Saccharomyces cerevisiae S288C: one gene and its partners. The gene in region 1 interacts genetically with each later gene. Each region holds a gene or a part of one and is shown in the gene's direction. Other genes may lie near its edges.

Region 1 (7,751 bases):
AATTCACCACATATCTCCCGTTGAGGCTCCTTCCTTAACTCAGACAAGTAGCACCAGACCACCAAAGAGGACTACTACAGCTTTGCGTAGCATAGTAAACTCATGCGAAAATGATAAGAATGAAGCTCCCGAAGAGAAGGGAACTAAAAAGAGAAAAACTAGGAAGTATATACCCAAAAAAAGATCTGGAGGCTACGCTATCCTTCTTTCCTTACTCGAGCTTAATGCCATTCCTCGAGGCGTTAGTAAAGAGCAAATCATCGAGGTTGCAGGAAAATACAGTGACCATTGTATGACTCCAAATTTCTCCACAAAAGAATTCTACGGTGCTTGGTCGTCTATTGCTGCACTTAAAAAACATTCGTTGGTTCTTGAGGAAGGTAGACCAAAACGGTATTCGCTAACAGAGGAAGGTGTAGAACTAACAAAGAGCTTAAAGACGGCAGACGGAATCTCTTTTCCAAAAGAAAATGAAGAACCTAACGAGTATTCCGTAACCAGGAATGAAAGTAGTGAATTCACAGCAAATCTGACTGACCTCCGTGGTGAATATGGTAAGGAAGAAGAGCCCTGCGATATAAATAACACTTCATTCATGCTGGATATAACTTTTCAAGATTTGAGCACGCCGCAAAGGCTGCAGAACAATGTATTTAAAAATGATAGACTGAATAGCCAAACTAATATATCTTCTCATAAATTGGAAGAGGTCTCTGATGATCAAACAGTACCTGATTCCGCATTAAAGGCTAAAAGCACAATAAAGAGGAGAAGGTACAACGGAGTAAGTTACGAATTGTGGTGTAGTGGTGATTTCGAAGTTTTCCCAATTATTGATCACAGAGAAATAAAGTCACAATCTGATCGTGAGTTTTTTTCAAGGGCATTTGAAAGAAAAGGTATGAAGTCAGAGATAAGGCAACTCGCTTTGGGTGATATTATATGGGTTGCCAAGAATAAAAATACCGGGTTGCAGTGTGTGCTCAACACCATAGTTGAAAGAAAAAGGCTAGACGATTTAGCTTTAAGTATAAGGGATAACAGGTTTATGGAGCAAAAAAATAGGTTAGAGAAATCTGGCTGTGAACACAAATACTATCTCATTGAGGAGACTATGAGTGGCAACATTGGAAATATGAATGAGGCCCTAAAGACCGCGCTTTGGGTCATTTTAGTGTATTACAAATTCTCCATGATAAGAACTTGCAATTCGGATGAAACTGTGGAAAAGATACATGCGTTGCATACTGTAATTTCTCATCACTATTCTCAAAAAGATCTCATAGTTATATTTCCAAGTGACCTTAAAAGCAAGGACGATTATAAAAAGGTGCTTCTACAGTTTCGTCGAGAATTCGAACGAAAAGGCGGTATTGAATGCTGTCATAATCTTGAATGCTTTCAAGAACTAATGGGAAAAGGCGATCTAAAGACGGTTGGTGAGCTAACTATACATGTTTTAATGCTTGTTAAAGGTATATCTTTAGAAAAAGCAGTAGCCATCCAAGAAATATTTCCTACCCTGAATAAAATACTAATGGCATATAAAACGTGCTCCTCGGAAGAAGAGGCTAAATTGTTGATGTTTAATGTACTGGGAGATGCACCTGGTGCGAAGAAAATTACTAAATCTCTTTCAGAAAAGATATATGATGCTTTTGGTAAACTTTAGCAATTTGAAATATAGTCATCCCTGCAAGGTTTTATAAAGAAAAAAGTGATGATATTCTTTTAACTAATATATACATATATAAGAAAAGAAGCCTTAATTTCTCACGGACAAATATACCAGAAGCATATCTGAAAGCCGCCCCAATGCATTATGATGCCACTTGACAACTCATCAATGGTAGGTACGAAAGACATAATGAACATCAATTCCATTATCAAAAACCCTTCCAACCTCTTCCAGTGACAAACCTTTGACTTCTGGATACCAAAAATATACGAAAAACCAGGCACAAACTGTGAAAAAAGCAAAAATGAGCATTGTATTTTCATCACCAATGGTGTTAATAGTGCTCAGATATGTCATTGAAACAAATGCATTGGTCAACCAATTTGTGCAGGCTATACATGATGCCCCAAATGATCTCCTGTTCAAGGGGAGAAATTCCACACAGGTCCATGGAACGCTGCCCATCGCAGAAGCATATGCTGCAACATAAATTACAACAGAAATTAAAAGTAAATTGACTTGGTCATGACCGAAACCTACACTGCAAAGAAGTAACCCAACAGTCATAATCAAAATTGTTCTCAAAAGAATGGCTCTTCTTCCCAAAGAGTCCATGGTGTACATGGCGAAAAAAGTGAATATGAAGTTCGTTGAGGCAATCAAAATTGGAGGCAGTAGAGGGTTTTTTATATTAAATTTGGAAAATATTATTGCCGCATAGTACATAAAAGCATTAAAGCCAGTGATTTGCTGGAAAAACATTAACATGCAACCTACTATTAACGCTCTTATTGTGCGTGGCTCCATTCTGTGTCTTTTCTTTTTGTTAGATGCCAGGGCACCGTTTGGAGCTGGGCCTCGCAACGCCGATAGATATGCTGATGAGGAGGACATTGTGTTGCTAGTTCTTTCTGTGTTCGAGGAAAGTCTTTTAATGTTAGGTGGGCTAAGAGTTCCTGAGGTTGAACTATCCATGTATCGAATAACCGATTGGGACTGTACTAGTAAAGGTTCACTTGCATCTTCGTATAGTCGTAACTTATCGAGTTCAATTATCAGCTGCTTAATTTTACTATTCACATGATATGTAGATGCAGTAGGATATAGCATTCTTAGAGAATCCCTGGTATATAGAATGTCTCCCTTGGAAATGGACCATCGTGGCGATTCAGGGATAAAATCCAGTATTGAAAGGAACAGAATAGCTGGAATAGCAGAAAGTGCGAACAAATATCTCCATGAATTATCAATCTCTTTCATAAGGGACGCAATCACATAGGAAACCAATTGACCTCCAGTGATGGCAATAATGTTCAATGTCAACATAAAACCCCTGATTCTGGAAGGTGAAATTTCACTCAGAAATAGAGGGACGCACTGGGCAGACACTCCAACAGCGATCCCAACCAGCAATCTCCCACAAATCAAAAACGTCAATGTTCTTGCTATAGCCATTCCAATTGCAGCTAGGATAAAAATTGAACAGCAGATTGCGAGAGTAATTCTTCTTCCATACCTATCTGCTAAAGGAAATGCCAGAATAGAGCCAAAAAATGATCCGACGCTTGTACTGGAAGTTATCAGCTCCTTCTGAACATCCGTTAAAACTACCAAAGATAGATCTTCGGGCTTTAAAGAAAGCAGAACACCTGATATAACACCAGTATCATAGCCGAATAAAAGCCCACCAATGGTAGCACCAACGAAGATTAACGACGTTTTGAACGTTAAAGCATATGGGAGTTGCTCGATGTCATTGGCAGTATTGGATGTTACCTGGGAGATAATGGAATACAGATCAGAATAAACGTCTTCACTTTCATCTGTAGACATACCTCTATCAAGTTTTGACTTTCCTGTCGCTTGCCTGTACGCTTTTGTTTTCTACTGAGAAAAGATACTTTTTGACCATGGACTATAAGTGCACGCTACAGTTGCACATATAAGGTTGTATATAGTTCAAGAAGTTCCTTTCGTATGGAAATTTTGTTATGTATACCTTCCAGTTGCTATGGTAGTCTACCTGACTAAATTATCAATCCGACCGATGTTCGGATGTTGCGATAATATTGGTACCGGAAAAAAAAAAGGAGAGGGCTTTGTAGTGTCGATGTTTAACAACCTGTTTTAAGGAATAAAGTAAAGTGAGGCTCACCTGGTCATTTAACACCAAGAATCAAGGAGCCAATAAGTGCACATGAGTTTTAAAGGGTTTACCAAGGCTGTTAGTAGGGCTCCTCAGTCCTTCCGTCAAAAGTTCAAGATGGGTGAGCAGACAGAGGATCCTGTTTACGAGGATGCAGAACGTCGTTTTCAAGAATTGGAGCAGGAGACAAAAAAATTAAGTGAGGAATCGAAGAGATACTCGACTGCGGTGAATGGAATGCTGACACACCAAATTGGATTTGCCAAATCCATGGAGGAAATTTTCAAACCTATCAGTGGTAAAATGAGTGACCCTAACGCTACCATACCAGAGGACAACCCACAAGGTATTGAAGCAAGTGAACAGTATAGGGCAATTGTCGCAGAATTACAGGAAACATTGAAACCGGATCTGGCTTTGGTGGAAGAAAAAATTGTTACGCCATGCCAGGAACTGTTGAAGATTATTACTTATATTCGTAAAATGGCCACCAAGAGAAATCACAAAAAATTAGATTTAGATAGACATCTAAACACTTATAACAAGCATGAAAAGAAGAAGGAACCAACCGCCAAAGACGAAGAAAGATTGTATAAAGCACAAGCTCAAGTGGAAGTGGCTCAACAAGAATATGATTACTATAACGACTTGCTAAAGACTCAATTACCAATACTGTTCAGTTTGGAAGCTGAATTTGTGAAACCATTATTTGTCTCATTTTATTTCATGCAATTGAACATTTTTTACACTTTGTATAATAGACTTCAAGACATGAAGATTCCATATTTTGATTTGAACAGTGACATTGTAGAGTCGTACATTGCCAAGAAAGGCAATGTGGAAGAACAAACGGACGCCTTGACTATTACACACTTTAAACTCGGTTACTCTAAGGCAAAATTGGAGATGACCAGAAGGAAGTATGGTGTAGCAACCGCCGAAGGCTCACCCGTCAGTGGCGCATCAAGCGGTGTCGGATATGGTGCTGGGTATGATCCAGCAACTGCCACTTCTCCAACCCCTACAGGATACGGTTATGGTGCCGCAGCACCAAGTTACGCCGCTCAACCTGCTGCCCAGTATGGTACTGCTGCCGCCGTTGGTACTGCTGCTGCTGTTGGTACTGCTGCTGGTGCTGCTGCTGGCGCTGTTCCGGGTACTTATCCACAGTATGCTGCTGCGCAATCTCCACCGCTCACTGGGCTAGGCTTCCAACAATCACCACAGCAGCAACAGGGACCACCACCGGCCTACTCTAATCCTCTAACATCACCTGTTGCGGGCACACCAGCCGCGGCCGTAGCGGCAGCTCCTGGCGTTGAAACTGTTACCGCATTGTATGACTACCAAGCTCAAGCTGCTGGTGATTTGTCTTTCCCTGCCGGCGCAGTTATAGAAATTGTCCAGCGTACTCCGGACGTGAACGAATGGTGGACAGGAAGATACAATGGCCAGCAAGGTGTGTTTCCTGGGAACTACGTGCAACTCAACAAGAACTAGAGGAGGCCCCTGCATCCCTCTGTATTCATTACCTTCTATTGTGAGATGTTACCATTACCTTTTTCTTTTATTGTAATGTTTCTTAATTTAAATACTATATAGGGTAATTCATCCTTCCACCAACAAAGTATCGTTTGAGTCTATCTATTACGGGCATGCGGCGAGCATATTACCCTACTGACAATATCCCAAAAGGGAAGGAGCGCGTTCCCAATAGGGCTGCCACCTTCCCAATATGGTACAAAGCCTACCATATGGGGAAATCAGTTTTCTCGCTCACCTCGCCTAGTCTTCCTAAAACGACGTTCCTCAGTCTCCTTTCTCTTTTATAAAACACCATCTCTGTCTTGTCGATGACACAGCCCAGTTGGGAAACCGGTGCTGACAAACAGGAAAAAAGCAAGACTAGTGGCCTGGCGCGGAAGAAACTGAGCTACATTGCACAACATCTTCAAGCAGGGTGTACGCATTCATTACTTTAATACTAAATTTAGAAGAAATCATCCTTTTTACTCGCGAAACTGTTAGGCTTGATCGGACGATCTCAGAAGAGGAAAAACAAATTGATAAAGTCTTCGTTAGGTTTCCTAGAATAGCAGGCCCGTTACAAAAAATTTTTTTACCCATTCCACTGGTTTTATTCACTAGTGACTTGAAAACTCCACATATTTTTGATCTCTTAAGCTTTCACGCATCACAAAGTTATCAGAACAAATTTTCTCCAGAAAGTTATATTGCAGTGTTCAAAAAGCCGTTCTCATTTCACAGCAATTTTTTTCTAAAGTAGAGGGGCAGAGAAATTAGCCTTCACAAGTTTGCTTTCGAGCTTCCAATTTGATTCCTGCTTTGGTCTTACTTTCATCCTCTCAATACCACTAAGATAAACTAAAAATATCTTTATAATGCCAAATAATACTCTTAAACAAGGCTCCAAAATTGAAAATGTTTCTCCCTCTAAAGGTCATGTCCCAAGTTTTTGGAAGCAGTTCATAAACAACCCTAAGAGTATGTCATCCGAAAATATTACAGTCCCTAGATCACCAACTTCTCTTTCAAGGAATGCTCAACCAACTACTTTAAAACGGCCTCCATTATCTTCAAGACCATATTCATATAATACCCCAACCAAAGATAGGAAATCCTTTTCCAAATCCGCGAAACAGAACAATAACAATAACAACGCTAATTCCGGAACATCGCCTCACGCAGAGTTCAAAAATTACAGAGATATGTTTTTATCTAATAGAAATGGTTTCACAGGTAGGGTTTTCGGTGTTACTTTAGCAGAATCGTTGAGCGTCGCCAGTGCAGAGGTCATTGTTCAAAGTGAGTTGGTGAGTTTTGGTCGGATACCCATCGTGGTAGCCAAGTGCGGCGCATACTTAAAAGCAAATGGATTGGAGACCTCGGGTATATTTCGTATAGCGGGCAATGGTAAAAGAGTAAAAGCCCTTCAATACATATTCTCGTCGCCACCTGATTATGGTACCAAATTCAACGATTGGGAAACATATACAGTGCACGATGTTGCATCGCTCCTGAGGAGATACCTTAATAATTTGGCCGAACCACTAATACCTTTATCCCTATATGAACAATTCAGAAACCCGCTACGATCTAGACCAAGAATCCTAAGGCATATGTTGACCCACGAAGTTTCTCATCCGAATGCGAATAAAACAAATAATGTAACAGTAAAATCAAGTAGACAGAACTATAATGATGATGGTGCTAATGATGGTGACATCGAAAAGGAGGACGCTAAAGATGATGAAGAAAAAAGACGAAGAAAAATACGTCATAAGAGAAGGCTGACCCGCGATATAAGGGCAGCTATCAAGGAATATGAAGAGCTCTTTGTTACCTTATCAAATGACACGAAACAGCTAACTATATACCTACTCGATTTACTGAGTCTTTTTGCAAGGCAATCACAGTTTAACCTAATGTCTGGTAGAAACTTGGCGGCCATCTTCCAACCTTCAATATTATCGCATCCTCAACATGATATGGACCCCAAAGAATACGAGTTATCCCGACTAGTAGTGGAATTTTTGATTGAATACTCGTACAAGCTATTACCCCATCTTTTGAAGTTGGCTAAAAGGGAACAACAGGAACGGTTGTCAACCGAAAATAAGAAAAATAATGGAGATAAACAGAAAACTGATCCTATAGAAATACCAAAGATCACCTCATCGGATTCGCCACCAATAGTTTCTTCCAATAAAAACCCACCGGCGATTGACAATAACAATAAACTAGACCATACGACGTTATCGCCAATATCTACTTCGATACCGGAGAACTCATCAGACCTACAGACTTCAAAAATGTTAAAGCCTCCGAAGCAAAGAAGACCACACTCAAAATCGTTTGGTTCTACTCCGGTTCCTCCGGATGTTATTGCTAGTAATAAAAGAAGAA
Region 2 (5,748 bases), on another chromosome or scaffold:
ATTGGTGTTGATTGGAATTGTAAATTTGGTGAATTAATCTTTTCATTAATATGCTCGAATACTGCTGTGGCACGTTAGAATAATCCTGTTGAACCTGCTGCTGCTGCTGCTGCTGCTGTGTCTCTAACCTATTTGTGATCTCTTCCCAAATCTCCTGTTTGTTAGATTGCAACCTTCTGTTCATTTCTTGGATGAAATAATCCTTATCGATATATTGCAACTCATTCGAAAGAATTTCCTTTACATAGCGATTCAAATCATACTCCCAACGACTTTCAGCGCTTCCAGCAGTACCAATGCCTGGAGACTCAATAACGTCTGAAATCAAAGCACTCAAATAATTGTGCAATTCAGGGATTATTAAAAGCGACGAAGAATTATTAATTACAACGGGTATTTCTTGAGGGAGGTGTGTATCCAACTGTTTTACCAGTTGATCTTGCCATTGAGTAACATTCTCGACCGTAAATTTGTGATTTCGCCTCTGTAACTCACTCATGGAAGTTGAAATTGTCTCAACCTGTTTTGTCAGCGAGTTAATGTCATTTTCAAAATTAACCAAATTTGAGGGTAAAAGTCTTTTAATATTCTTTTCAAATTGAGAGACAATGATTTTTACTGTTTTATCCAATTCTGAACTGTGCTTTTCGTCCCGCTTACTCAACTCACTATATAAATGATTCACCTGTTTTTGTAGGTTGCTGAATGATTTGCCTGGAGAGGATGTAGCGCCGGATGAATGGCTTTCTAAATCATTATTTTTCACGGTTGTCATCAAAAAAGATCCAAAAAAATAAAAAACGAAGAAAAGGCCTCCATAGAAAATGTACGTCCGCCACTTCAACTTCTTAGCTTCACCTGAACTTTCCAAGTTCTCTTCAAAGTCAGAATTACTTTCCAAATCGTAGCTGTCGGAATCGCTGTCTTCTATAAAACTCTTGTCTGCCTCATCTGTATAGTCCTCGTCGCTATATCCGTCGGTCTCTTGTCCATTATCCTCAATGTACGGATCATCATCGTCGTCATCATTATGTTGGTCTAACGGAAAATCAAGATTTTTTTTGAACATTTCGTACGCGGAATCATTCTCTTTATCCATATCATAGTTGTCAGTTTCACCGCCATCGGTGTATATCCCTTTTTTGATGGCTCGTAGGCTAATCTCCTGTTCCCTATTCATTTTGTCCTTGAGGACATCTGCATACGCGGACTTTACAGCCTTATTGTAAGGCATTTGTTCATTAGCCGCTCCTGCCTCTTCCCGCCTATGCTCATTTGAGTTATTCATTTCCAGCACTTCCAGGATAAAAGTTACTACCAACTGAAAACAAGAGAAACCGCCGTGAAACTATGGAGCACTACAGTTAAAACACCACTAACTCCACTCTGTTGACTTTTATCTGTAACTCCTCATGACAACCTTGTTGATAATTATCTCAAGATGACGATATTTACATTGTCATTATATTCCATTTTCGCGTCTCATATGTTACCCGTATCAAAGAGTATAACCCTATCAATAAGTGATGTGTATCATTTATAAACCTCATATTTTAAGAATAAACCTATATAATATAGGAATATACCCTGAAAATAGTTAGAGGTCTACAATGCCCCTATTTTACCTCCAGAATTATAATCTCCTTAAGACTTCAACTAGAAGTGGTATTTACTAGCACACTGTGAAACAGTAGCGTCAAGTCGGTAGTAAACATCAATCGCGTCCCAACTGCAAGAGCTACTAGAAGTAAACACAGTCTTACCCAAACTAAGGATGAGTGAACCCGAAGTGCCCTTCAAGGTGGTGGCTCAGTTCCCATACAAGTCCGATTACGAGGACGATTTAAATTTTGAAAAAGATCAAGAGATTATTGTTACGTCTGTTGAAGACGCCGAATGGTACTTTGGTGAATACCAGGATTCAAATGGCGACGTTATTGAGGGTATCTTCCCGAAAAGTTTTGTTGCTGTTCAGGGATCTGAAGTTGGAAAGGAAGCCGAATCATCTCCGAATACCGGTTCCACTGAGCAACGTACAATCCAGCCGGAAGTAGAACAAAAGGACCTACCAGAGCCCATTTCCCCTGAAACGAAGAAAGAAACTCTGTCCGGGCCAGTGCCAGTTCCAGCCGCTACAGTGCCAGTTCCAGCCGCTACAGTGCCAGTTCCAGCCGCTACAGCAGTATCAGCACAGGTCCAGCATGATAGTAGTAGTGGTAATGGCGAAAGAAAAGTTCCCATGGATTCTCCAAAATTGAAGGCTCGCTTATCTATGTTTAATCAAGATATAACGGAGCAAGTTCCTTTACCAAAATCAACTCACTTGGATTTAGAAAACATACCTGTGAAAAAAACAATTGTGGCAGATGCTCCTAAATACTATGTCCCCCCTGGAATTCCAACAAATGATACGTCCAATCTTGAAAGGAAAAAGTCCCTAAAGGAAAACGAAAAAAAGATTGTTCCCGAACCAATTAATCGTGCACAGGTGGAAAGTGGAAGAATAGAAACTGAGAATGACCAATTAAAGAAGGATTTGCCCCAGATGAGCCTTAAAGAAAGAATTGCTCTTTTACAGGAGCAACAAAGATTACAGGCTGCAAGAGAAGAAGAACTCTTGAGAAAAAAGGCTAAGCTCGAACAAGAACATGAACGTAGTGCGGTTAACAAGAATGAGCCCTATACGGAAACTGAAGAAGCAGAAGAAAATGAAAAAACTGAACCGAAACCTGAATTTACGCCTGAAACTGAGCACAACGAGGAACCGCAAATGGAATTATTGGCACATAAAGAGATTACTAAAACCTCACGCGAAGCAGATGAAGGCACGAATGACATAGAGAAAGAACAATTTTTAGATGAGTACACAAAGGAAAATCAGAAAGTTGAGGAGTCACAAGCAGACGAGGCAAGAGGAGAAAATGTTGCTGAGGAAAGCGAAATAGGTTACGGCCATGAAGACAGAGAGGGAGATAATGATGAGGAAAAAGAAGAGGAAGATAGTGAAGAGAATCGTAGGGCCGCATTGAGAGAAAGAATGGCTAAACTATCTGGCGCTAGTAGATTCGGTGCTCCTGTTGGTTTTAACCCCTTCGGTATGGCTTCTGGAGTTGGAAATAAACCATCAGAAGAGCCGAAAAAGAAACAGCATAAGGAGAAGGAGGAGGAGGAACCTGAACAGCTCCAAGAACTACCTCGTGCCATACCTGTTATGCCATTTGTTGACCCAAGTTCTAACCCATTTTTTAGGAAATCAAATCTAAGTGAGAAGAATCAACCCACTGAAACAAAGACGCTAGATCCTCATGCAACCACAGAGCATGAACAGAAGCAAGAACATGGTACACACGCCTATCACAATTTAGCTGCTGTTGATAATGCACATCCCGAATACTCTGACCATGATTCTGATGAAGATACTGACGACCACGAGTTTGAGGATGCAAACGATGGGTTGAGAAAGCATTCGATGGTGGAGCAAGCTTTTCAGATAGGTAATAATGAGTCAGAGAATGTTAATTCCGGAGAAAAAATTTACCCTCAAGAACCACCAATCTCCCACCGTACTGCAGAAGTATCACATGATATTGAAAATTCATCACAAAACACAACTGGAAATGTTTTGCCTGTCTCTTCCCCACAAACAAGAGTTGCTCGCAACGGGTCGATAAATTCTTTGACTAAATCCATTTCAGGGGAAAATCGGCGGAAATCCATAAACGAGTATCATGATACAGTTTCCACTAATTCATCTGCATTAACAGAAACCGCTCAAGATATTTCGATGGCAGCTCCAGCAGCTCCAGTTCTAAGTAAGGTGTCACATCCTGAGGACAAGGTGCCACCTCACCCAGTGCCTTCTGCACCCTCTGCACCTCCAGTACCCTCTGCACCTTCAGTACCCTCTGCACCTCCAGTACCTCCAGCACCTCCAGCACTCTCTGCACCTTCAGTACCCCCAGTACCCCCAGTACCTCCAGTATCTTCAGCACCTCCAGCACTCTCAGCACCTTCAATACCTCCAGTACCTCCAACACCTCCAGCACCTCCAGCACCTCCAGCGCCTCTTGCGCTGCCTAAACACAATGAAGTAGAAGAACATGTCAAGTCATCTGCTCCCCTTCCACCTGTATCCGAGGAATATCATCCTATGCCAAATACTGCTCCGCCACTTCCACGTGCACCACCAGTACCACCGGCTACTTTTGAATTTGACTCTGAACCAACAGCCACTCATTCACATACAGCTCCTTCTCCTCCACCACATCAAAATGTCACGGCCTCTACACCTTCAATGATGAGTACGCAACAACGTGTGCCAACCTCAGTACTATCTGGGGCAGAAAAAGAATCACGAACCCTACCGCCCCATGTGCCTTCATTGACGAATCGTCCTGTGGATTCATTCCATGAGTCAGATACTACACCGAAGGTGGCCTCTATAAGAAGGTCAACGACGCATGATGTAGGCGAGATTTCCAACAACGTCAAGATAGAGTTTAATGCACAAGAAAGATGGTGGATTAATAAAAGCGCACCTCCTGCTATAAGCAATCTGAAGTTGAACTTTTTGATGGAGATCGATGATCATTTCATTTCCAAAAGATTACATCAAAAATGGGTGGTAAGGGATTTTTACTTCTTGTTTGAAAACTATTCGCAACTAAGATTCTCCTTGACCTTTAATAGTACAAGCCCAGAGAAAACGGTAACGACTCTTCAAGAACGCTTTCCATCGCCAGTCGAAACACAATCAGCACGTATTCTTGATGAATACGCTCAAAGGTTTAATGCGAAAGTTGTAGAGAAATCTCATTCATTGATAAATTCACATATTGGGGCTAAGAATTTCGTGTCACAAATTGTATCCGAATTCAAAGACGAAGTTATACAACCCATAGGAGCAAGAACGTTTGGCGCAACTATATTGAGTTATAAACCTGAAGAAGGAATCGAACAGTTGATGAAGAGCTTACAGAAGATTAAACCAGGTGACATTCTTGTAATTAGAAAGGCCAAATTTGAAGCTCATAAAAAGATCGGAAAAAACGAAATTATCAACGTTGGAATGGACTCCGCCGCTCCGTATTCGAGTGTTGTTACTGATTATGATTTTACAAAGAATAAGTTTAGAGTTATCGAAAATCACGAGGGAAAGATTATTCAAAACAGCTACAAGCTAAGCCATATGAAAAGTGGGAAGTTAAAGGTTTTCAGAATTGTTGCGAGAGGATACGTAGGTTGGTAATTTACCCAATGCTTCCAAGGGGAAATTGTGAATGCTTTCGATTTCATCATTTTCCTTTCGCATTTTCTTATCGTTATAGTTTAAGTGTATATTTTCATAACTCTTCTACAGAAGAAACTATACAAAGATTAAACAACCGTTTTTGTATCAGGTCTTATTTGAGCGGCTCAAAACGAAAGGTAGGATTCACTTATCTTACCGCCGTCAATAGTATCCCAAGTTGTACCTTTTCGTATATACCTACAATTCTGGCTTCAGACGCAGTAATTTTTGAGCAATCGTAACAAACGGTTTGCCCCTAGAGTTTGAATTTTTCTTCATCACTCCATGATAGTGCTCTCATATATTATCTTACGGAAATTAATCCAATATAGGTGCCCAAAGGTTGAAATTAATACGAACTTTGACCTGGCCTTAATTATCGATTCTAATACTATCTGAGTTTAAAGAACTTGCGGGGAAGAAATACGGAAAACATAGAAAGGCGATGGCAGATGAAG
Region 3 (8,993 bases), 1.0 Mb from region 1:
TTCATCTTCGTTAATTAGGTCATCAATATCGAAATCGAAATCATTTGGATCTTTGTTGTACTGTCCAATTACACGTCTTTTAAGGCCTGTCTTTGAGTCTATTTCAAATTTTCTGGAAGCGGAAGAGGCACTTGCACTGTCATGGCCAAGGCTTTCCTCCGTGTCCTTCAGATCAAACTTTAATACATTGGTATGATCAAGTTTTTTTTTCAAATATTCCCTCTTACCAAGCTTACCAGTCGCTGACTGTGCTGTTGCAGACGATTTCGGTTTTGTTAGTTTGAATGTACCGATGCCAGAAAACAATGGCAACAATGCAATGAAAGCAATCACAATAATGAGAAGTAAAAAATAACCGTATAGATTCATGCTCCGGACTTATTGACTTAGGCACCGAGAACTTTAAGGGAATTCGTCCTTTTCTTTTACTAAACGTAGATCATGGGTGCTTGATTTAGAGATACAACTCATCGCACTTGACAAATTTCAAAAAACCGTATTCAGTGATCATATTTGAAAAGTCACGTTTCTTACAATGTCCACATAGCCCTATAGGATATGAGGGATTAGTAACCGTAAATGATCTCTTTGAATCGCATTTTTAATTGAAAGCAACCTCGCTTGAAGACACTTACAAATCGTTACGTACTACTGAATACCAGAAAGATAGTATTTCAAAAAAAACTAAGCGAGAAGATAGAGTGTAGCAATGATTAAGCGGTCTCTCGCAAGTTTAGTTCGAGTCAGCTCTGTAATGGGCAGAAGATATATGATAGCAGCGGCAGGAGGAGAACGTGCCAGATTTTGTCCAGCTGTAACAAATAAAAAGAATCATACTGTAAATACTTTTCAGAAGAGATTTGTAGAATCCTCGACAGATGGTCAAGTTGTGCCTCAAGAAGTGTTAAACTTACCGCTTGAAAAATACCATGAAGAGGCAGATGACTACCTAGACCATTTACTAGATAGCTTAGAAGAACTGAGTGAGGCTCATCCGGATTGTATACCTGATGTAGAGCTAAGCCATGGCGTAATGACATTGGAAATTCCAGCTTTTGGAACGTATGTAATAAACAAACAGCCTCCAAATAAGCAAATTTGGTTGGCATCACCATTGTCCGGGCCTAACAGATTTGACCTTCTCAATGGGGAGTGGGTTTCGTTAAGAAATGGCACAAAGCTAACAGATATACTTACTGAAGAAGTTGAGAAGGCCATTTCTAAAAGCCAATAAGTGCACTTATCCATCGACTCTCTTATATTTATTTAAACACTTGTAACGCATCCAATCTATTTCATAGTTAGAGTCTCTCTTCCTTGTTATTGATATGATTTTTCTTTTGTACCGTGTGTGTATGTATGTATGTATGAACGTACTACTAAGCTTCAACGTCACTCTATAAAGAAACTAAAAAGACACGTATTTATACCTTTTTTGAAGAATGCGAGATTGCAATGAAATATGTGTCTATTTTTTACATGAATCTTTTGACCAACTCCTCATATATACCCCACGCAATACCTGCACTGAAGGCCTTTCTTGCCAGCCTCATGCTTAACCCGCTAAATAACTTCAGCACATTTTCATTTTTAACTATAGATGTAAATGTATTGAAGGAGTTGGTAAATTTTGATGGTTCCAATTGCATTCTCGTTTTTATGGTGTCGAACGGTGCCGTTACTGTGGTGGCTAAACTGGCGGATAGTACGGCGCTTGTTGTATTTACTGTTGTAGAGGTATAAGTAGTAAATCCTCCCTCAGGATTGTAATGTATAAACCTAGAAGGTAATACCATGGGCAGTAATTGTTTCGATTTTTCATATAGCAGCACATACAAACCTGCATAGGGAGCGTCTCTTAAACAAGTAGCTCCAAACCCTCTGAAAAATCCAAAAAGTCCTTCCTTAGTATATATATGGGTAATTGCCTCCTTTAAACTGGAGTAATTGTACAGAGTAGACTCATAACGGACTTTAATGACGGTGATAGGCATGGTTATATAACCTACCAAACCTCTTGCAAATGCACCTGTTAGTAAATTTTCATACATCGTTAATCGTGGTAAGCTACTGCTCTTGTTATATACAATGTTTGAATCGTTTGTTAATGAAGGCACAGCATTCCTCCTCTTTGCCAAAGATGAGCGCATAAGGTTCAAACATGATAAATATAAGGCGCTGCCTATTGATGTTCGTAATGCTGAAGGTAATGTACCTCTCCATAGCTGTAGAGGGCTGTCTATCTCTTTCAAATTTTTCCATAATGTAGCTTTCTTGTCTTGCTGGATTCTCGTCTTCAAAAGGTCTAAAGGTTGCAACGCAACAGCAGATGTTAGCCCACCGAAAAAGCCCCCGATCAAATGCGATGAATTTCTTGGCTTAGTTGCTTGCTCAGTCATGTATGCTGCTTCACAAATTGTGTACCTTCTAGTTGTTCCCGCTGTGCTATTTGCTTTTCTTTTGGTATAAGCTTATCCTTTTACTTCAATCACCCCCTCGTGAGAATTTAATGTGGAAGCAATATACTACTACACCGTTGACTTGGAGATTTTCAAGCTCAATTTTGCGTTCACTCAAATCTAAGTCATTTGAAACAAACACAACTTCTAAATATAGCAAGAGAAATAGGTCAATAACGCAGACACATATTTAACATTTAAGATACTGATAGATATTCAAAAGGAAACAGTCACCACAAGCGTTGGAGATTCAGCAAAACCCAAAAAGCAAGAAATTACAAAATCATTGTCTCGCTGATGAAACACCATCCTTTAGTGTTTGTATCCATTCAGCGTACCCTCTTGTTCTTGAGACTGGTGAATTTCGTAACTAGTTGAATATTGCAGGGTTTTCTTTTTCTAAATATGTATTAATGGTGGTGCCTGTCAGGGCGCGATAGAAGTGAAAAATTCTCGAATGGCTGGTTTGGTGGCCATTGAGCTGATCTGAAAAGGATGGTGAGATCAAGCTTGATATCTTGCATGCTTGGACCAACTATTTAAAATAAGTATTGAAAAAGGAGAATTTAGTTTCATTTACTCTCTACAATTGGATATTATACAGTTAAAACAAGAGAAAAGGCCAAAATTAACGGGACTCTGTTTGCATAACATATCTATAATATCAGTTTGATCTACTGCTGTTAAACTAATTTTTCTTTCTTCTGATTTCACTTCGTCCTTAATATTTTAACACATTAACTGTTTGCTATAAGCATACATTGCTTTTACCACTTTTTTTAATAATATCTTTTTATCCGTATTAATTACCGCATATAATTTTAGTTCGAAACATTAAAGGTCAGTCCCGAAGTTATAATTATAACATTTAATTCCTGAATTTACCGTATTACATTTAAATTTGCATAATGGCCACTAACTTAACATCTTTGAAGCCACCATTTAAGGTGAAGGCCAGGTATGGTTGGTCGGGCCAAACTAAAGGCGACTTAGGCTTTCTGGAGGGAGATATTATGGAAGTCACAAGGATTGCCGGTTCTTGGTTCTACGGCAAGTTATTGAGAAACAAAAAATGTTCTGGGTATTTTCCTCATAACTTCGTCATACTATTAGAGGAGAGATTAAATTCGAGCACTGAAAATGGTAGGCAACCTTCAAAAATAGTAGAAAGTTTTGAAAAATCAAATAAAGTTGTTATTCCACCAGTACCATCAAGGTATTCTGACGAGAGGCCAAGGCCTAAAAAGAAGCTATCTTCATCAATGCCCAATTCACCCAAGAAGCCGGTAGATTCTTTGACAAAGGCTAGAAAGGCAAAATCAAAAGAAATGGTAAATGAAAAAAATATCTATAATACCCAATCCTCTCGACATCATAATAACTCAGCTCCAAATTTACCTTTGGCTAGCCATAGTAAGCCTCAAGTACGAAATTTCGAGGAGTCCATGAACAATCCGTTACCACCTCTACCGCCACTACCAGATTTGGACAATATGAGAAAGACAGATAAAAGGGCACCAAAGAAATCATATTCTGCAAACGATTTACATATGGCACGTTCTTCAAGAGAATATAACTATTACAAAGACAACCAGAAATTCTATGATGGGTTTATCCCAGAAAAGAGATATTCTTTAGAAGAGGACTCTATTTCATCAGGCCTGTTTTCAAACTCTCAGTACTTAAATGATTCTGCTTGTAGTAGTGAGAACAGTTTTGCCTTAATGAGTGATTTTAGTGCCACGAGCGCGGGAAGTTTCGCCAGACATAAATATGCACAATCGTTTTCCGATTCATTGCAAAGATCACAGAATGCAAATGGCTGCTCTACAAAGATAAATGATTCACAGGAGTTTGGTGATTCCAATGCTAGTTCGAGAAATGGAAAAATGGGTGATATCCTTAGGAAAATAATTATTCCAAAGAGGAATACAAATATTTACTCCAGTTCAGTATCCTCACCAAAGTCACCAAAAGCATATCCTAAACTACCAGATATTCAGAATTTAAACTTGTCTGCAACACCCGATGAAGCTCGCGATTGGATTGCGGTAAAATGTCACTTGAACAGAGCAAGGACTCTTACCAAATATGACAAACATCCGAGGTATATGAGAGCTCTCGAAGAAAATCGCGACTTGATCTTACATCCTCAAGATTCGATTTATAACGGGCTAAATACCAATGAAGTCAAAGGTAATACAAAGCCCGGTTTGGTCGATGTGGAACTGGCCGAATTAAACATAGAATACATTGATAAGATGACTTGGAAACGGTGTATTAGAGACGGAACTATGACATTAGACAGTTGGGCTCAAACAACTTTTTCAGCAAGATACTCAACTGTTCTGGAAAAGTTAAGAGGCATATACATTTTTTGCACAGAGATGTTTGCTCTGACTGATGATAATGGAACGTCAGATTTTTCTGCGGAACCCCAAAATTTAGAGAAAATACTATACAGAAAGCATTGTACGCCATATGAATTGACATGGCTTTTCAAGAAATTAGCAAACTCATTGGGAATCACTTGTGAAATTGTTATAGGTTTCCTGAAAACACCGAGTGCTATAAATTGGGAGTTTAAGTATAACCACTGCTGGTTGAGAATACTGGTTAACAAAGAATGGAGATTTATTGACGTTATTTTAGGAAATGTAACCAACCCAATTCATGAATTTGTAAATAACAGAAAGATCAAGAAAGCAGAAAATAGCTACTTTTTGATGGCACCATTAGAAATGATATACACACATATACCGCCTAGGGAATTTGAGCAGCATATTGTTCCTAGTATCGATCAATTATCTGCATTGTATCTGCCATTAGTTTTTCCATCTTTTTTCAAAAATGAGTTAAAGTTATACAAATTTAGTACTGCACTATCATTTTTGGAAGATTCTGAGATCTACGAATGCTCCTTAGAAATTCCCAATGACGTTGAAGTCTTTGCATCCGTGGTTATTCCAACGGATAATGAAGAAGCTTCATCTGCGTACAGGAATATGGAACTCGCACTGACCCAAATCAAAAAGCAGAAAGCCGAGTCTGGTAGAAGAATTGCTCTAATCAAAGCAGTCCTACCACCCAATGTGAACAAAGGTTCACTGTACATACATTCAGGTGTAAGAGGTACGCAAACGAGTATTGCCAATATCCATCCACTGTCCATGATGGTCCCATTAACACATAAGGGAAGTAACATGAAATACGAATTTGTGATCAAGATACCCTCAGAAAGCATTCAGAAGATTGAGCTATACATTGTCGAGCCACAGAGTAGATATCTATTTGTTGGTAATGAGTACTCATTCGAAGTTATTCAAAGTCCCTCCGATGGTATTGTATACAGCAGTGATGAAGGGCCGAACCAAAATAGGAAACAACCAATGGCAATAAAATCACCCTCAGGAAGAGTTCATGAGCTAGTCAAGAGCGATCCCCACTTTCCTTATGGTACCTGGAAAGGAAGCATTAAAATCAAAGAGCCCGGCGTCTGGAGCGCTTTAGTGATCGCTGACTCTGGTATTGGGTGGTCCGTTTTTGCTGAATGGTTGTGCGTATAAACGTTTTTCACAAATTTTTTTACAGCGCTATAATCTGTATCATTCAACATACATTCTACTCAGGAAGGTGAATTTCATAACTCATATATGGCTATATAGTACTTATTATTTAATGATTTATCCATTGCATTCATAAAAGCTATGCTGGTCCAACTTTTTCGTATTTAGTGATGTTTTCGGTGAAGAAAATATGAAAAATTAGACCAAATGCTCAAATACATACGACATTTGAATTGTTTAGGCAAGTCCGAAAACGAGGTATATCAGCTAATTCAACCTGAAAACCAATTGAGTGCTACTTCGAAGTAAAATACATAGCCATTTCAAATGGAATTATCCCCTACTTATCAAACAGAACGCTTCACAAAGTTCTCAGACACTTTAAAGGAATTCAAAATTGAACAAAATAATGAGCAAAACCCCATTGACCCGTTTAACATCATAAGAGAGTTTCGCTCAGCCGCGGGGCAGCTTGCGTTAGATTTGGCTAATTCTGGAGATGAAAGTAACGTCATATCTTCTAAGGATTGGGAACTGGAAGCTAGATTTTGGCATTTAGTAGAACTGTTACTGGTTTTCAGGAACGCTGATCTTGATCTAGATGAAATGGAACTTCATCCTTATAACTCGAGGGGTTTATTTGAAAAGAAATTAATGCAAGACAACAAACAACTTTATCAAATATGGATAGTGATGGTTTGGCTCAAAGAAAATACATATGTGATGGAAAGACCCAAAAATGTACCAACTTCAAAATGGTTAAATAGTATTACTTCTGGAGGATTGAAAAGCTGTGACTTGGATTTTCCTTTACGAGAAAACACTAATGTCCTCGATGTTAAAGATAAAGAAGAAGATCATATTTTCTTCAAATACATTTACGAACTAATTTTGGCCGGTGCGATTGATGAAGCATTAGAAGAAGCTAAACTTTCCGACAATATTTCAATTTGTATGATCCTGTGTGGGATACAAGAGTACTTAAACCCTGTCATTGATACGCAAATTGCAAACGAATTCAATACCCAGCAAGGTATCAAGAAGCACTCTTTGTGGAGAAGAACAGTTTACAGCCTTTCGCAGCAGGCCGGTTTGGACCCTTATGAAAGGGCGATATACAGCTATTTGAGTGGCGCTATTCCCAACCAAGAAGTTCTGCAATATTCGGATTGGGAGTCTGATCTGCACATACACTTAAATCAAATTTTACAAACTGAAATTGAAAATTATCTTTTGGAAAACAATCAAGTAGGTACTGATGAACTGATTTTACCATTACCTTCACACGCGCTAACTGTACAAGAGGTGCTTAATAGAGTGGCTTCAAGGCATCCCTCAGAAAGTGAACATCCAATCAGAGTTTTAATGGCATCTGTCATACTAGATTCTTTGCCATCAGTTATTCATTCATCCGTGGAAATGTTGCTTGATGTCGTCAAGGGAACCGAAGCTAGTAACGATATTATAGATAAGCCTTATCTTCTGAGGATAGTTACACATTTAGCCATTTGCCTTGATATAATTAATCCAGGTTCTGTTGAAGAGGTTGATAAGTCCAAGCTCATTACTACGTATATCAGTCTTCTGAAATTGCAAGGCCTTTATGAAAATATTCCAATATATGCTACTTTCCTGAATGAGTCAGACTGCTTAGAGGCATGCTCTTTCATATTGTCTTCTTTAGAGGACCCCCAAGTAAGGAAAAAGCAAATTGAGACAATAAACTTTCTAAGATTACCTGCCTCAAATATTTTGAGAAGAACCACACAGCGTGTTTTCGATGAAACCGAACAAGAATATTCACCATCTAACGAAATTTCCATATCTTTCGATGTAAACAACATTGATATGCACTTAATATATGGCGTGGAATGGCTTATTGAAGGGAAGCTTTATGTGGACGCTGTCCACTCTATCATTGCCTTATCGAGGAGATTTTTGTTAAATGGCCGCGTAAAGGCTCTCGAACAATTTATGGAGAGAAATAATATTGGAGAAATATGCAAGAATTATGAATTAGAGAAAATAGCCGATAACATATCAAAGGATGAAAATGAAGATCAGTTTTTGGAAGAAATAACTCAATATGAGCATTTGATAAAGGGCATAAGAGAATATGAAGAATGGCAAAAATCCGTTAGCTTGTTAAGCTCTGAATCGAACATTCCTACTTTAATAGAGAAATTGCAAGGTTTTTCAAAGGATACATTTGAATTGATCAAGACATTTTTAGTAGATTTAACTTCCTCTAATTTCGCGGATTCGGCAGATTATGAAATCCTGTATGAGATTAGAGCCCTATATACTCCATTTCTACTGATGGAATTGCATAAAAAGTTAGTGGAAGCCGCAAAGTTGTTAAAGATCCCAAAATTTATTTCGGAAGCCCTGGCATTTACCTCATTGGTCGCTAATGAGAACGACAAGATTTATTTATTATTCCAATCTAGTGGAAAGTTAAAAGAGTATCTGGATCTCGTTGCTCGCACAGCAACCCTTTCGAACTGATCAATTAATGTATTGCAGAATAAGTTTATATTTTAAGTAAACAGCAATAATTTTATGCATTTCTTCTATCTATTTCAGAAGTAATTGACGTGATTTTTTATAGTTTTGCTTTGAATCTTTGTGTTTCCACACCGGAGAAAAAAAAGTTCATGAAGTGAAAAAGCGGTTAAACATGAATTTTCTACTATCTAAAGATAAAATTACAGATGCAGTTACTTACATACATTGAACAGTTTCTGACGGCAAATTTAGCTTCTATTAATTTTTTTCTGTAGCTGATGAAAAATTCTGTCCCTATGATGCGCCAATGGGTCATCAACATCCGTCGGAAAAAATTCATTTCTAGGGTATTCAATATCATCTCCTTCATCAGAATCATCTTCGTTATCACTTATCTCTATTTCACCTTCTTGGCCATCCAAGTCAATGAAATTCGAGGAATTTATGGATTTCAAGACAT
Region 4 (6,935 bases), on another chromosome or scaffold:
AGCGTAATTTTTGGCTGTTTCTCGAGCGACTCCCTCTCGAGCCTCTTTTGCTCGTTGGTTTTCAGCACAAAGCCCTCTGGTAGGGAGTGTCTGTACATACATTTGTCACCTCCGTTAGGACAAATCCAAAACCAACCGTATTTACCGTTTTCCACGGCCTCGATGAAGTATTTGCATACTTTGTCGGTGGTGGTCTTTGGGTTACCGTGCTTCGACAGGATAACTTTTCTCAGCTTTTCTTCATCCCAGTTGTCCATTGTGTCATTTTCCTTTTCACTTCTTGTATCTTGGTATAAATCTTTCTTTTCCATTCTTCTACCGACGTTCAAGTCATGTGAGAACTTACATTTGGCACCTTTGTTACAATTCCCCAGTTTGAACAGAGCACAAACCATGGACTTGGGATCTACACCCGCACGAACCCTTTGGTCTGCTACAGGGTTGAATAGTGCTCTTCGTTCAGCTTCTTCGGCTTCTCTGCGCTTTTTTTCTTCGAGTTTCTTTAACCTCATCTCTTCTTTCTTGGGGTCGGATTGTGATTGCACTTGTTTGATGTATTTTTGGACTTTGGTAGAACGGTTCTTGTTCTTCATACCGAACGTCTTGTCGACATTATCCTTCTTCTTACCAGCCGCTTGGGCCTGTTTTCCCTTTTTTGGTGGCATCTTCGAAATATAACTTTCCTGCGATTTTATATGTGTAAAGCCCAGAGGTTTACTAATAGAGTGGCTTCCCTTGCTTTCTAGAAATAGTAAAACACATTGATTAAAAAAAGATATATTGTCGATTTTCACTAACTCATCGCTGGGGAACAAAAATTTTTTCATTATCATCACAGTTCATCATGTTCGACGAGCTACGTGCCAATTCATTTCCTCCACTAGTCTCCAACTTAAGAAATACTCTCAGAGGTTGCAATCTTGTGCTGTTCAGGGTGTGATGGGCAGCATTGACTAAATTTCCTTATCCCTTGCATAGTTACATTCTTAGTTATCAGGTATTGGCGACCAATTGCATACATTTTTATTTTCTACTTTAAAACTCAGTAATGAGCAGTTACCGGCCCTTCATTATGTAGAAAAACAGGATTCACTTCTTTCTACACAAGATACAAAAAAGAAAAAAAGGATCGATTGGAGGGTAAACGAAATCGTGTGATAGGCAGGAAAAGAAACATCTATTGCTACTTTAATTGAATTTGTGCTCTACTGAAATTTTTCAACAGAAGAAGTGCTTTTACTTCTCTCAATCTCTCCATGTCTCCCTTAACTAGAACCGTAGCTATAAAGAAAACGGTTAAGGTTCTATCTAAATGTCAATCTGGTAGAGAATACACACAGAAGTTTCTCCAACGTGCATATTCAACATCACATGCCAACAGCACATACTATTCAAGGACAAAGCTATTCATATCATCACATTCTAAAGCTCTAAACATTGCTCTACTAAGCGGGTCCCTACTGTTGACCTACTCCTACTATTCCCCTAAAAAGATCCTCTCCCTTGATACAATTAACGGAATAAAAGATTATTCTACAAATACTAGTGGTAACATTAACATGCCGTCACCTAATCCAAAAGGAACAGAGACACAAAAGAGTCAACGGTCTCAGAATGACCAATCTGTTCTTATCTTGAACGATTCTAAAATAGAGGCTAAACTACATGATAGAGAGGAAAGCCATTTTGTTAACCGTGGCACTGGTATATTCAGGTATGATGTGGCACAGTTGCCCTCTAACCATCCAATAGAAGACGATCACGTAGAACAAATCATTACCATTCCGATAGAAAGTGAGGATGGCAAGTCCATAGAGAAGGATTTGTATTTTTTTGGAATTTTTGATGGACATGGTGGTCCTTTCACTTCGGAAAAATTATCTAAAGATCTAGTCCGTTATGTAGCGTATCAATTAGGTCAGGTATATGACCAGAACAAAACGGTTTTCCATTCCGACCCCAACCAATTAATCGATTCTGCAATTTCGAAAGGTTTTTTGAAACTAGATAATGATCTTGTAATCGAATCGTTCAGGAAGCTGTTTCAAGATCCAAACAACACAAATATTGCAAACACTTTACCAGCGATTTCTGGTTCTTGTGCACTATTAAGTTTATACAACTCCACTAACTCAATTTTGAAAGTGGCTGTCACTGGAGACTCAAGGGCTTTAATTTGTGGTTTGGACAACGAGGGCAATTGGACGGTAAAGTCGCTATCCACCGACCAGACCGGTGATAATTTGGATGAAGTACGGAGAATTAGGAAAGAACATCCAGGAGAACCAAACGTTATAAGAAACGGAAGAATATTGGGTTCATTACAACCATCCAGGGCATTTGGAGACTATCGCTACAAGATCAAAGAAGTCGATGGAAAACCATTATCGGATTTGCCTGAAGTTGCCAAACTTTATTTTAGAAGAGAGCCAAGGGATTTCAAGACACCCCCATATGTCACTGCGGAACCAGTGATTACTTCTGCCAAAATTGGTGAGAACACTAAATTTATGGTGATGGGTTCGGATGGTTTATTCGAATTACTAACTAATGAAGAAATTGCTTCCTTGGTTATCAGGTGGATGGATAAAAATATGAATCTGGCACCTGTGAAGGCAGAACCGGGGAAATTACCAAAAGTTATCGATGTATCTGAAGACAAGGAAGCACAAAGACCGGCATTCAGGTACAAGGATAATAATTCGAGCTCACCATCAGGATCAAACCCAGAGTATCTTATTGAAGACAAAAACGTCGCCACTCATTTAATTAGAAATGCATTAAGTGCGGGCGGAAGAAAAGAATATGTATCGGCATTGGTAAGTATACCATCGCCGATGAGTAGAAGATACAGAGATGACTTGACAGTAACAGTGGCGTTCTTTGGTGATTCTGGAACACCCTCAATTGTCTCCAATGCTACTTCAATAGTTATGAACCCGGAGGCAACAACAAAGCCAAAACCTAGATTATGACGATATAAACTTATGCTGAGGTAGGTATATACCAGAGGATTTATTTTATAGATATTAGTCTGCTGATTATCTAGTTTCTTGTCACCTCATACGTGTTTTTTTTTTTTTTGGTTTTCTCGGTTTGCATTATGGGGCTTTTTGCTAAAACAATATCCCCGAAAAGACAAAGAAAGAGAAGTGAGGTGAAAATACGAGCAGCTTATCTTATAAAAGTGGCAACGATTTTAAAAATAAAAAGCAAGATCGTCGACTTATCTAAGCTATAAAAAAATATCCCTTTTATCACACAAAAAAATGAACACATCAGTCACTTCCATAAAGTTGGTACTGTTGGGTGAGGCAGCAGTTGGTAAATCGTCAATAGTCCTAAGGTTTGTATCTAATGATTTTGCCGAAAATAAGGAGCCCACCATTGGTGCAGCATTCCTCACTCAAAGAGTTACTATAAATGAACATACTGTTAAGTTTGAAATATGGGACACTGCTGGGCAAGAGAGATTTGCATCTTTAGCACCTATGTACTATAGAAACGCACAAGCTGCTCTTGTAGTATACGACGTTACAAAACCACAATCCTTTATTAAAGCGCGCCACTGGGTTAAGGAATTACATGAACAGGCATCAAAGGATATCATCATTGCGTTAGTTGGTAACAAGATCGATATGCTGCAAGAAGGTGGGGAAAGAAAAGTCGCAAGGGAAGAAGGTGAAAAGCTAGCGGAAGAAAAGGGCTTGTTGTTCTTTGAAACAAGTGCAAAGACAGGAGAGAATGTTAACGATGTATTTTTGGGAATCGGTGAAAAGATACCACTGAAGACGGCTGAAGAGCAAAATAGTGCAAGTAACGAACGTGAGTCGAACAATCAAAGAGTGGATTTGAACGCTGCTAATGATGGGACCAGCGCAAACAGTGCTTGCAGTTGTTAGAGAGGGGAAAATAAATATATATAAAAAAAAAGTCTGGGCAAATTGAGATAAATAGATCTTCAAAACGGGAAAGATGAAAGTCATAATTTATCGTACCTAGAAAGGAGAGGGAGTTTTCATTTTTTACCGTAATCGTTGTTTTTCTTTTCTTCTTATAATTTGTAAATTTTTTAACTGCATTAGATCATTATATTATCTTTCAAAACGCCAGTCGTTTTTATTAGACCTTTATATACGTTTCAAAGTGGTTTGTACACGTTAGTTTAGTTAAACTTTTGTTTTCATGTAGACCAAAATATAAACTTATTTTATGCCGAAAATCGGGAGATGGATTAGTTAATATTGTAAATAATGATAAATTAAAGGAACATTAAATTTACAAAGTTGCAATGAGGAGCAATATATATATATATATATGGATTTCTGAGAAATTAATTAAGCAGTATTTGAACACATGTCGTTTACTCTTTCTTATCCTTTATGTCTAATTTTTCGAGTAGATCGGTAATTACAGCTGTCAAGTTTTCCACTTTCTTAGTGAGCTCTTTGACTTCATCTTTATCTTCACCAGCATCATCTTCAGTGTCATCGTTATCATACTGTTCGAAGGAGGGACTGCATTTTTTAACGTTTTTATACCACTTCTTAGGGACTTTAAAATGGACATCTTCCTGCTCTGCTGTTCTTTGCAGTTTTAGCGAACGGGAATTCTTTAACTGGGTGGCTCTCATGCCAGAATTTCGGTTATCAGAAAACAAACCGTCATCATCATCCAAGTAGCCATCTGTCAAATCCCATGGAGTATCATATTCATTGGCATCATCGTTTAACCTTTTCATCCTGTTATATTTTATCCTTCTAGCCTCCCGAGTTTCTTTAACAGAAATAAGCAACAAAAATGGGCTGTACACTATTGTCATTACAGTATAGCTCAAATCTTTAGCACGCTTCGGTGGAAGAATACGAAAGATAGGTGTCATGAACACTTCAATTAAGTTCAATGGAGAAACATAGACATCTTCATCAGGTGCTCTAATGTATCTCAACGTCTTTTGTGACATCAAAGCCATGTACTCGTCATCTGCATTGTCAATAACTTTTTGGTACGCAGTCGAATACAAAGCAATTAATATATTCAAAAGGATAACCGAAACAATAAAATAGTAACCATAATACAGTATTGCCGCATATGGGGGAGCGAATTCTTCGAAAACATCAAAACTACCAAGACCCAAAACGGTGATTGTTAAATTACCCAGGATGGGTCCGGTGATATCTCTCTTACCATCTGCGGAATCCAAACCTAAGAAACCTTGAGTGAATCCTATCATTATTAAGAATAGAAGGAAGAAAAATACAATGGATTCTTTCATCATATGTTTTAGGATAACCAACATAATCCCAATAAACCTTTGTGATTCAAGGTATAGTAGGAGTCTCGACCACACAAATGGTGCTGCACAGGATAAGACTCTATATGATATTTTATCCCAATCTTCTGAAGAGTATTTTGCATTAAGGGGCGTTACGCTCATTGCACGGAACCCCATAGCAAACGTGATTATCAAATATGTGGTATCATTAAATAAATTCCAAAACGATAGGTGCGCATAACCAATATAATAAAGCTTAGTGAGCTCATCCAAGATGAAACCAGTATTGAAAACATAAAATATGCTTTCTAACAAATCGAAAGATTGGACTCTCTCAGAGTCCTTACCATTAACCACCAAGGTATAAAGCCCTAGAAACAAAAATGAGAAGATCATCTGCAAATAATTTTGGTATACAGGCGCCTTTAATCTTACGGGGTTGAAATGAGAGATCAATGACACTTCCGCCAGTGAATCGTCCTTGATAAAAGTTGTGGGATCCAAGCCATTTTGGACTATCCATCCTCTCCATATCCATTTTAAACAACGCTGAAATCCACTCGATCCTATCACTGTAGTACAGTGCATATCTGTGGCAAGTTCCAAGGCATTCAACGGTTCTTGATCTTCATCGTTCTCGTTGATTACGTACCGACGCAGCAGTAACTGCATGAAAAGAAACTGCAGGTCTCTTGTCTCCTCCCTTTCAATTAACAATTTACATAACTGTTGTGAGGCTAAATTTCTGGTTTCGTAAAGTTTGGCATTGTGCACTTCCATAGTGGCCAATATGGAATACCACTCACAAACTTTAAGAAGTGAAAAAATAATGACAGATTGATATTTTCTTTTGTTGGCCTTGTCTTTAGGGTTCCCGCCACATGCTTCATAAGCCAGCTTCACAACTTTTGGAGATAAAATCTCAGAATGGTCACAAACAATATCATTGGGATCGTAAACAATAGGTACGACCTTATCAATTAAGTATTTCAAATTTAACGTAACCCTGAGAATCTGTCTCGGAGTGGGGGCCTCAAATCCAAGAGATCCATTGTTTTCCGGCATGCACTGTTCGTTAGAAATTGGCAAGTGCAAGTCGCCGTTGGCTGATACCATAATGCTCCTGTTCTAGTAATATTATATTTTATAACTGAATTCTATTGCCTTACCAAGCCACTGATTAATGACAATTGCATTGAATAGGCTCTAGCTGATCCTCGAAGGATACTGACTAAATTTACCACATATTTTCAGCTCTTATGAGATAACTCCGACATAGCAACAGTGTAGGAGAAAAATTAAAAAATTAACGACCCCAGTGAGGGTTGAACTCACGATCTTGCGATTAACAGTCGCACGCCTTAACCAACTTGGCCATGGAGTCTAACTTTGTTGTTTTAGAGAACGAATGAAGAACTTATTATGACGATAAAAATATGTCAAGAGAGGCCCAAGAATGTATAAATCATTGTAAAACCAAGCAAGTAACAAAAATGGTCATGTGACAAGAGGTGGTGACATAAAAATAACCAAAGGACTAATAACTAGAGAAACAATAAAATGAGAAACTAAAAAAAGAAATAAAGCATTGAAAATCTCATTAGACTAGTTGGCTCATTTCCATGGCAAAATGTACAATTGTATCTCAGTAACGTTATAC

The links.
Region 2: mutations in RVS167 (region 1) and BBC1 together harm fitness more than expected from each alone (negative genetic interaction), as found in Saccharomyces cerevisiae (6 studies listed by BioGRID, with this or other methods).
Region 3: mutations in RVS167 (region 1) and CYK3 together harm fitness more than expected from each alone (negative genetic interaction), as found in Saccharomyces cerevisiae (5 studies listed by BioGRID, with this or other methods).
Region 4: mutations in RVS167 (region 1) and VPS21 together harm fitness more than expected from each alone (negative genetic interaction), as found in Saccharomyces cerevisiae (6 studies listed by BioGRID, with this or other methods).

The regions. Positions count from the first base shown.
Region 1 is NC_001136.10:1,246,311-1,254,061, forward strand, and holds RVS167 (amphiphysin), read left to right. Parts: upstream 1-3,875; coding exon 3,876-5,324; downstream 5,325-7,751. Other genes in the region: MUS81 (Mus81p), read left to right, coding at 1-1,672; CIN10 (Cin10p), read right to left, coding at 1,844-3,511; GTPase-activating protein SAC7, read left to right, coding at 6,227-7,751. UniProt on the Saccharomyces cerevisiae protein: Component of a cytoskeletal structure that is required for the formation of endocytic vesicles at the plasma membrane level.
Region 2 is NC_001142.9:398,437-404,184, reverse strand, and holds BBC1 (Bbc1p), read left to right. Parts: upstream 1-1,774; coding exon 1,775-5,248; downstream 5,249-5,748. Other genes in the region: MPS3 (Mps3p), read right to left, coding at 1-1,288. UniProt on the Saccharomyces cerevisiae protein: Involved in the regulation of actin cytoskeleton.
Region 3 is NC_001136.10:245,214-254,206, forward strand, and holds CYK3 (Cyk3p), read left to right. Parts: upstream 1-3,367; coding exon 3,368-6,025; downstream 6,026-8,993. Other genes in the region: EXP1 (Exp1p), read right to left, coding at 1-369; YFH1 (ferroxidase), read left to right, coding at 710-1,234; HEM25 (Hem25p), read right to left, coding at 1,476-2,399; NUP84 (Nup84p), read left to right, coding at 6,353-8,533; IWR1 (Iwr1p), read right to left, coding at 8,782-8,993. UniProt on the Saccharomyces cerevisiae protein: Involved in cytokinesis by recruiting INN1 to the bud neck. Cooperates with INN1 to stimulate the synthesis of the primary septum (PS) by CHS2.
Region 4 is NC_001147.6:487,163-494,097, reverse strand, and holds VPS21 (Rab family GTPase VPS21), read left to right. Parts: upstream 1-3,269; coding exon 3,270-3,902; downstream 3,903-6,935. Other genes in the region: translation machinery-associated protein TMA46, read right to left, coding at 1-665; type 2C protein phosphatase PTC5, read left to right, coding at 1,257-2,975; YVC1 (Yvc1p), read right to left, coding at 4,364-6,391.